Caenorhabditis elegans: one gene and its partner. The protein of the gene in region 1 purifies or fractionates together with the protein of each later gene. This does not show direct contact. Each region holds a gene or a part of one and is shown in the gene's direction. Other genes may lie near its edges.

Region 1 (3,225 bases):
TCACCAAGTCTTGAAGTGCATGTTTACAATGCGAACCTTATTATACACCGATTAATTTAAAAACGAGAGCCCAATAGGACAAAATAGGGCTGGCTGGATGATTTTTCATGATACCCTTTAATGGGCGACAAAACAATTCAGAATTTTTGTTAAAAATTGAACATTTTTAAAAATCAACTAGAATGTTTGCCCGCTCTCAATATAACTTTAAAAGTCTGTCAATGACAGGTTTTGGAGAAATTCTACAAGCGTAGAAGGCAGTGAGTTTCAATTGGAGAATTTCTGATCAAAACTAAATTTTGTGTGAGTCTTGTTTACTCTAAAGTAAGCTTGAACGAAGTTAACGTTAAGTTGGGCTTGTTAAAGCCGAAGTACTGGTCATGGGGCTCACAAAAAGATGATCAGAGCTGAAGTCAGTTGCTCGGCAAATTGAGGAGGTACCTAGGTGAGGAGACAGTTATTTAGTGTCATTACACATGTGTAAAGCCACTCAGTAGACCCAAAAATTTTACAATTTCTGCTTCCAAATACGTTATCCGGTCTTGCCACGACAAATTTTTAATAGTTGCGATGGGGTATGCGCCTTTAAGGAAGTGGTAATGCAATTGGAAATGAGTAGGAATTATTATATGAAATTAAATGTATTTTCACAATGAAATTTAATTTTTTCTGAAATCGAAAAAAAAATTTGATGGTGCGTTTCTAAATTTGAAATGATTTTTTTAAAGAGTTTTTTTTTGCGTTGTTTACATTTTGAGCTTTTCTGATTATTTTTATAGATGTTATCAGCAAAATGATGACAAATAGTTGGTATAAATAAGGAGGAAATTGTCATTCAAATCACGATCAAATCGATCCCAACAACTCTCCCAAAAACACCTCAAGATGAATGTCATCTACACTGCCGTCCTTGTTGCTTCAACTCTCGCCTACACTGCAATGGCTTGGATTGGACTGAGCATTGAAGCCGCCAACGAGGATATGATCTGAAGTGGCAACTGAGCCCTAGCTGCTAATAGTGACCTATGTTTTTAGTCTCACAAATGAAGGTTTATGTGTGGTGTTTTTTGATATTAAGTTTGCACGTTTGTTGCAAAAGATGGTAAAGAAAAATGCAAAGTATAGAGTTTTGCTAATTTGAAAAGATTGGAGACGTCATCATTTCCGCTTTTCAATTCTTGCTCATTTTGCTGAGGCACGAGCTTCTAATTGATTTTCGCGGAAGGACTTCATTTTTACATCCAAACCATTCACAAGAAAAGGAAGTCAAAGTAGTATCAAACAATACCTACATATTTGGAAAAAACAATACCTATGTGGAAGCTTACGCTTATAGTTAGACTAGGCTACCACGAAAATTTCAGAGGCGGTACTAAACTCTAAACCCCGGAAAATTCGGTTTGAAATATTTTTGAGTTCATTTTTTAATTTATTTGGTGACCATAGTATGCCTCAAAAAGTGGTTTTTGTAAGTTTTCAATAATTTGAACGATGCTTGGTAATAGGCAAACATTTGGATTTTGTTATTATTTTTTTGAAAAAAAAATCTGCAATATGCTCTCTTATCTTCAACTAAATTTAAAATCGTTGAAGTTTATTTTCAAAAAACTGACGTTCTACTACGATTGTCATCTCTATATGTCCTCAAATTAAAAAAGAGTTTCTAAAGAATTTATGAGAAACTGTAATAAAATTCAAACTCTTTAATTTTATAATTTTCTTAAAATTACCTATTTAAGTAGATCCAAAATTCACCGTTGAATCCGTCGTACTATCATTCACATTGGAAAAACTGAATTTCACGTTGCTATTTTATTTTTCTCGAAAGGTCACAATTCACAAGTCAAAGTTTGTTTTGGCCATTTAACGTTTTTCTCGTTATTTCTGTAAATTTGGCACTTTGTAAAATTTCCAATAAAATGCTCAATTCGTTCAAAATCACAATCATAGAGTGTCTTCAATTATTCACATCGTTACTTCTGCTTTCAATCTTTTCATGTGCACAGCGTGGCTCTTCAAGGTAATTTTTTTTGTTTGTTTTCAGACTGAATTCTTGACTTTCAGAGAACGAAAATCCCAACGAGGAAACAGTGATATTTCAGTATCACAAACACAGGTGTCAGAACGACCATCAGAGCGCGATCAGAAAAGGAGTGAGGTTAGTCAAAGGAAGCAAAGGAATGATGTGTGAGTGAAGTTGGTGTGAGGTGTAACATCATGGACTACAAGCTACAAATACTACTAACTACAGATTTTTCAATTGGCTGAGAAATGAAGTCAGTCATGTCAAATCCTACTTTCAGACAGGACTCAATCCGAATGTTCCGTGGCCGAAAGCCCCCTCAAAAAGGAAAGCCGGCAATGGAGATAAAGTCAGAGCGATCAGATTCACAGCACACGCTCACCATCACTGTTCCACTGGGAAAAGCTTCAAGGTAATAATTGCTAATCGAAATGCAAATAAATTATATTTTCAGAAACGATCAACCGCCTTCCAATTTGACTGAGGAAGCCGCGAAGAAAGTCGCCGGAACTGGAAGAAATGATGGGAAAAAGGTGCAATTTGCTGAGAAGTTGGTGAACAAAACAAAATCACCATCAACTGGACCGTCTACGTCGAAGAAACTACAAAAATCTCAGAAAACTCAAAAATCATCCAAAAAGTCGCAGAAAAAATCGAAGAAGAGTAAGAAATCTTCAAAAAGTAAGTGACATACATACAGACACTAATTTACAGAATCGTTTTTAGTTTTCAGAAAAATGAAAGAAGAGTTTGGGTGATTTGAGAACTTGTACTTTTGATAATAAATGATTTTGAATATGTTCAAGATTGAATAAAATTTTGCAATTTGTTTGAAACTGTTCCAAGTATATAATAATTTCAGCTGCAATAAAAATTATAATTCGATTTTTTTTCTTGGTTCGCATGTAAAAATGCACATTTTAAGGTCATTTATTTTCTGAGTGGATCTGAGCAAAGATTAGATTTTACTTCTCATGCACTACGGTTTTTGGAATCATCAATTTTTCATATTGTCTTTTCTACCATTAAGTTTTCAAATTATTTTCTTGAAAATTAAATTACCTGAAACATGCCCCTATTTGTTCACAAGATACCCTATGCCAACAAAGGACTTTTCAGACGTCTGACAATCACTAGAAATTCTTGTTTCCTAGTCTTCGGTCTTCTAGTTCTTCTCGCTTTCCCACATTTATATATAGTAG
Region 2 (4,115 bases), about 14 Mb from region 1:
TTTACCATGCAGAACTCAAAGTTGATCTACCTAGCAGCAGTCTATAGTCTAGGAGTTGGTTCCGGGGAGGTTATAAGTGAGTTTTGGACAATTTTGGGGATTGTTCAGTGAAATTTTTTTTGATTTTACTAAATTTCAATTTCAGTTGGACTAGCGATCTCATTCCTCAGCAAGCGTATCAAAGATTTCGGGCAAAAGCCAACTATGACGATTGGCGCAATCTTCATCACGATGTATTGTGCCATGATCCATATGTCTACTCCGTACGATGCTCCGATTAGGCCAACTAGCAAGGAGCCACTTTTTTTTGGTCATTCGTAAGTTTAACAGGTTTTTCTTAGTAAGTAGCAAATTTAATTTCAGCTACCTTTTGGCCCTAATCATAGGCTTATTTTGTGGAATCGGAGATTGCTGTGTAAATAGTGTAAGATCAGTGATTTGTGCGTTGCTGATGCCAAAAAGAAGACCACAAGCGTTTTCAGTGTCGAAGATTTATCATGTAAGTTAACTGGCTTGAAAAACTGGGGGCGTTAAAACACATACTTGCCTGACCTTAGGGCGACCGAAAGGCCGGCGTGAGGCAGGCAGGTTCTAGGCAGTCGTCAGGCCCTGAAACCGCGCAGGCTTACCATGGAAGACCTACGCATAACAATTTTCCAACTTATGTACATTAACGTTCTACCGGAGCCACCTAGAAACCATATTCCAGGCTTTTGGATCTACGATTCTATTCTTCATGAGCCCCATCACACCACTCTACGTCTACACAATCGGCCTGCCAATTCTCGCAATCATCGCCACAATTTTGTTCTTTTCCATTTCTAAAAGAACACAAATTATGGAACGGAAAATGACGGAGGCTAGCAAAAATGCTGCAGAAATTGGAAAGAAACTTAATTTTTAATTTTTTTTAAAACAATTTTGAAAATGTCATTTTGTGTCGGGTAAACCTTGAAATTTTTTTTGAGATGATGAAAGCTTTAAATGTTATCACACACGTTATCACCTATTTTTTTGCATTTTTGCGGTAGTTCCGTAGATTTTCGAATTTTTCACTTAATACTTCCAAACTTAAATTAATTTAATTTGTTCAATTTTTTTTCGAAATTTTAGTTTTTGAAACTTCGAATTAATCTCCAATGCATTTTTCTTGCAGATCTGTCCTAGGAGATCCGTTTCCCACTCTTCCGAATTAAAATATTATATTTTGTTTGATTCAAAAAAAGAATGCTGGTTCTGATCTTTCGATCATTTAACTGATAAGCGGTTTTCTTGCGAAATTCGAAGTTTAATTTCCGAGTTATCAGTAGAGTGTGTGCACGTTGCTTTTTAATGGGATGTAAGTTGTATTGGTCTTTTTGGAAAAAAAATACAAGAGAAATGCGAAAATCTACATCCTACAAACACTAGGAACAACGGAGGCTAAAAGGTAGGCAGCTAGTCGTGATAAGGTGCCTGCCTACCCTGGTGGCCTCTCGCCGATTTATTCCACCTTATCACACTTATGTTGAAATTTTAATCTTTTTTCTGATCACCACACCTCCTCACCACCCCTCATTTTATTACTTTACATATATAAGGTAATTCCCTTGGACACATTTCGTGACTCAGTTTCAGTTGTGAAATTGCCGAATTCCAAAAAAAAAAATGACATTTTTATCAATATTTTTAATTTCTGGTCTATTTCTGTGTGGCTCCGCTCAAAAGTTAATGAGCTTGAGCTCTTTCAAAGGCACAAACGTGAAAAATAATTTCAAAGCTCATGCACCGTACAATATTTATGTGTCCGCCGACTCGGACGCTGAATTTATTCTGCAGCAGATTTTCGTGATTACCGGAAATGAGCAGAACGTAACGTAAGTTTGAGCGTACCGACCAATAAACGAGACGCAGGTGGCGGGGCCATGACCTCTAATTGGTCAACTCTAATCGCGCGCCAGTTTTGATCTACAAGTCATGTTAGCTCAAAATCGTAACTTTTTTTGGGAAACGCTCATGTGATGTTTTCGAAAAAATCGAATAATAGTTATTAACTTAAATAAAAATGCTTTTCAGACTCCTCGATCTCAAAAAAAATCTTCAAGCTTCCGGAGAAATCACTGCATTCCCGGTTCAAAAATCTGCCTATATTACGACAACACTGAGTGATAATGAATTGAAAACACTTAATGGAGTGATTTATCTCAGCTCCAGGAAACAGCGAGCAGACAGTGAGTTGTATTTTCTAAATTGCCACTTTAGATCCTTTTTCCAGCCAATTTTCACGTTTACGGTGTTTCTAAATCTCCAAACATCATCCTTAGAGGAATGGGAAACTTAAACACCACAATTTTGTTCCTTAACACCATTATGGGAACGAATCCGTCTTCAATCATCAGTCAATGGAGCCAAGACTCTACCGCCCACGCATATCTGTACACTGATTTTCCACTGGATACTGCAGAAGAAACTAATACTCAAATTTTCTCGAACCCGATGCATACTGACAAAGCCGATTTGTATTTTGCAAATGTGGAAAAATTCTCGTTGAGCCTAGTAGCATTCTATCTGAAAACTTATCGAGGTGTCAATTTCAGCATTGAACCAGGATACTGTAAGTGGAATTGAGATTAAGGTCGCAACTTAAAAAAATGAATTCATTGAAGACAGTATTGATGGAAAAAGAACATCAGCCTTCACCACTACTGGATTCTATATGAAGCCCCTGGCCAGAAATGCTAGTACCATAACTGTTAATATCAAGCGAGATGTTAGATATTCTGGAGCTTCTGGTGCAAATGTAAGTTTCATTTTGATACCAAATTGTGTGCTCCAACATCGACAACTAACTCCCTACATTTAAAAATTCAGCTTCTCGGACATGTCCCAAAGCGGGGAAAAGTCACAGTAGGCTTTTATAACGGAGATTCAAAATATGAAGAATCATTCCCTCCAAGTTACTATTTCTCTCCATGGAGCATCCCATATATTGACTTTGAAACTTTCAAAGTTTCATCCACATCCTCAAACTCAACTGCTGAATACTACTTTGTGCAATATTTTGTCGCTCGTGAGTTGTTGTTTTCTAGATTTTTTGTAGTTTGAGGTATTCGAAATTTCAGAAGGTACTCTGTTCGGTAGTCCAACTTCAGGGCCCATTCAGACGGCAACTCAATCCTCCGGAGTCGTCCAATTATTCGTGTCAATGGCTATTTCAACAATGTATTGGCTGTAGCTTTTTGATGTTGACATTTATGGCCCAATTATAATATTATTGATGAAAAACGATGAAAAGTATTTCAGCTCACAATTGCACTTTAAAATGAAACATTTGTAAAATTTTGAAATTTTGCCGATTTGCCGGAAATTTTCAATTCCGGCAATTTGCCGAGTTGCCGACTTGCCGGAAAAAATCGTTTGCCGTCCACCCCTGATCGCGTACTAAACAGACCAAAAAAGTTCAACAAACCAAAAAAAATGTGTGAAAAATTGCACAATTCTCTGAAAAACGTCTGTCATCCTTTCTCCGCCTTCCGTTTGAACTTGTTCAGCCGATTATGCAAAACTTTTTAAACTTGCCTATTAATTCAGCCTAGAACTTTCCAACTTTCCGTCACCGCAGTTTCCACTCTCCGCAAATTTTCGGTTCAAAGTTTTTGAAACTGATATTTTTGTAAAAAAAAATGAATCAACGGCGATTCGAACTATTATGCGCAGCATTGCTCGGCTTCGGTCAGCTGTGCATAATGACTGGATTCGATTCAGAGTCGTTTATTCTAGAGTCTGTAATTCATTCGATTCATGAGAGAGAACCCGCAAAAATCAGCATCTATGCTGGGTATTATGGGTGAGTGGAAAGTTCAACTGACCAATCATTGAACATTTTAAATGTTATAACTTTGGTTTATATGTACCAACAATTAAACACAAAATATTTTCAGCCAAGCCGTGATCTATGCCTTCTACATGATAGCTTGTCTATTCTCGCCCTCCATAATAGCAGTGAGCACCCCGAAAACCAATTTGATAATTGCTTCCATTTTCTTCACGGCATTCCCTCTGGGCTTCCTGTTCACCAACTCTTATTACTACTACGCTTCGTCAGCATTGCTAGGTGTTGGGTTTGCCTGTAAATT

What was found.
Region 2: the proteins of ZC412.9 (region 1) and dod-20 fractionate together in Caenorhabditis elegans (co-fractionation; one large-scale study listed by BioGRID). This does not show direct contact.

Annotation. Positions count from the first base shown.
Region 1 is NC_003283.11:14,880,804-14,884,028, reverse strand, and holds ZC412.9 (uncharacterized protein), read left to right. Parts: upstream 1-1,919; coding exon 1,920-2,020; intron 2,021-2,064; coding exon 2,065-2,187; intron 2,188-2,303; coding exon 2,304-2,435; intron 2,436-2,477; coding exon 2,478-2,712; downstream 2,713-3,225. Other genes in the region: nspa-7 (Nematode Specific Peptide family, group A), read left to right, coding at 886-990.
Region 2 is NC_003283.11:420,851-424,965, forward strand, and holds dod-20 (Downstream Of DAF-16 (regulated by DAF-16)), read left to right. Parts: upstream 1-1,582; 5' UTR 1,583-1,647; coding exon 1,648-1,856; intron 1,857-2,055; coding exon 2,056-2,210; intron 2,211-2,254; coding exon 2,255-2,593; intron 2,594-2,645; coding exon 2,646-2,779; intron 2,780-2,850; coding exon 2,851-3,049; intron 3,050-3,101; coding exon 3,102-3,214; 3' UTR 3,215-3,327; downstream 3,328-4,115. Other genes in the region: Y39D8A.1 (UNC93-like protein MFSD11), read left to right, coding at 1-76, 146-317, 364-499, 710-904; B0554.5 (UNC93-like protein MFSD11), read left to right, coding at 3,663-3,826, 3,921-4,108.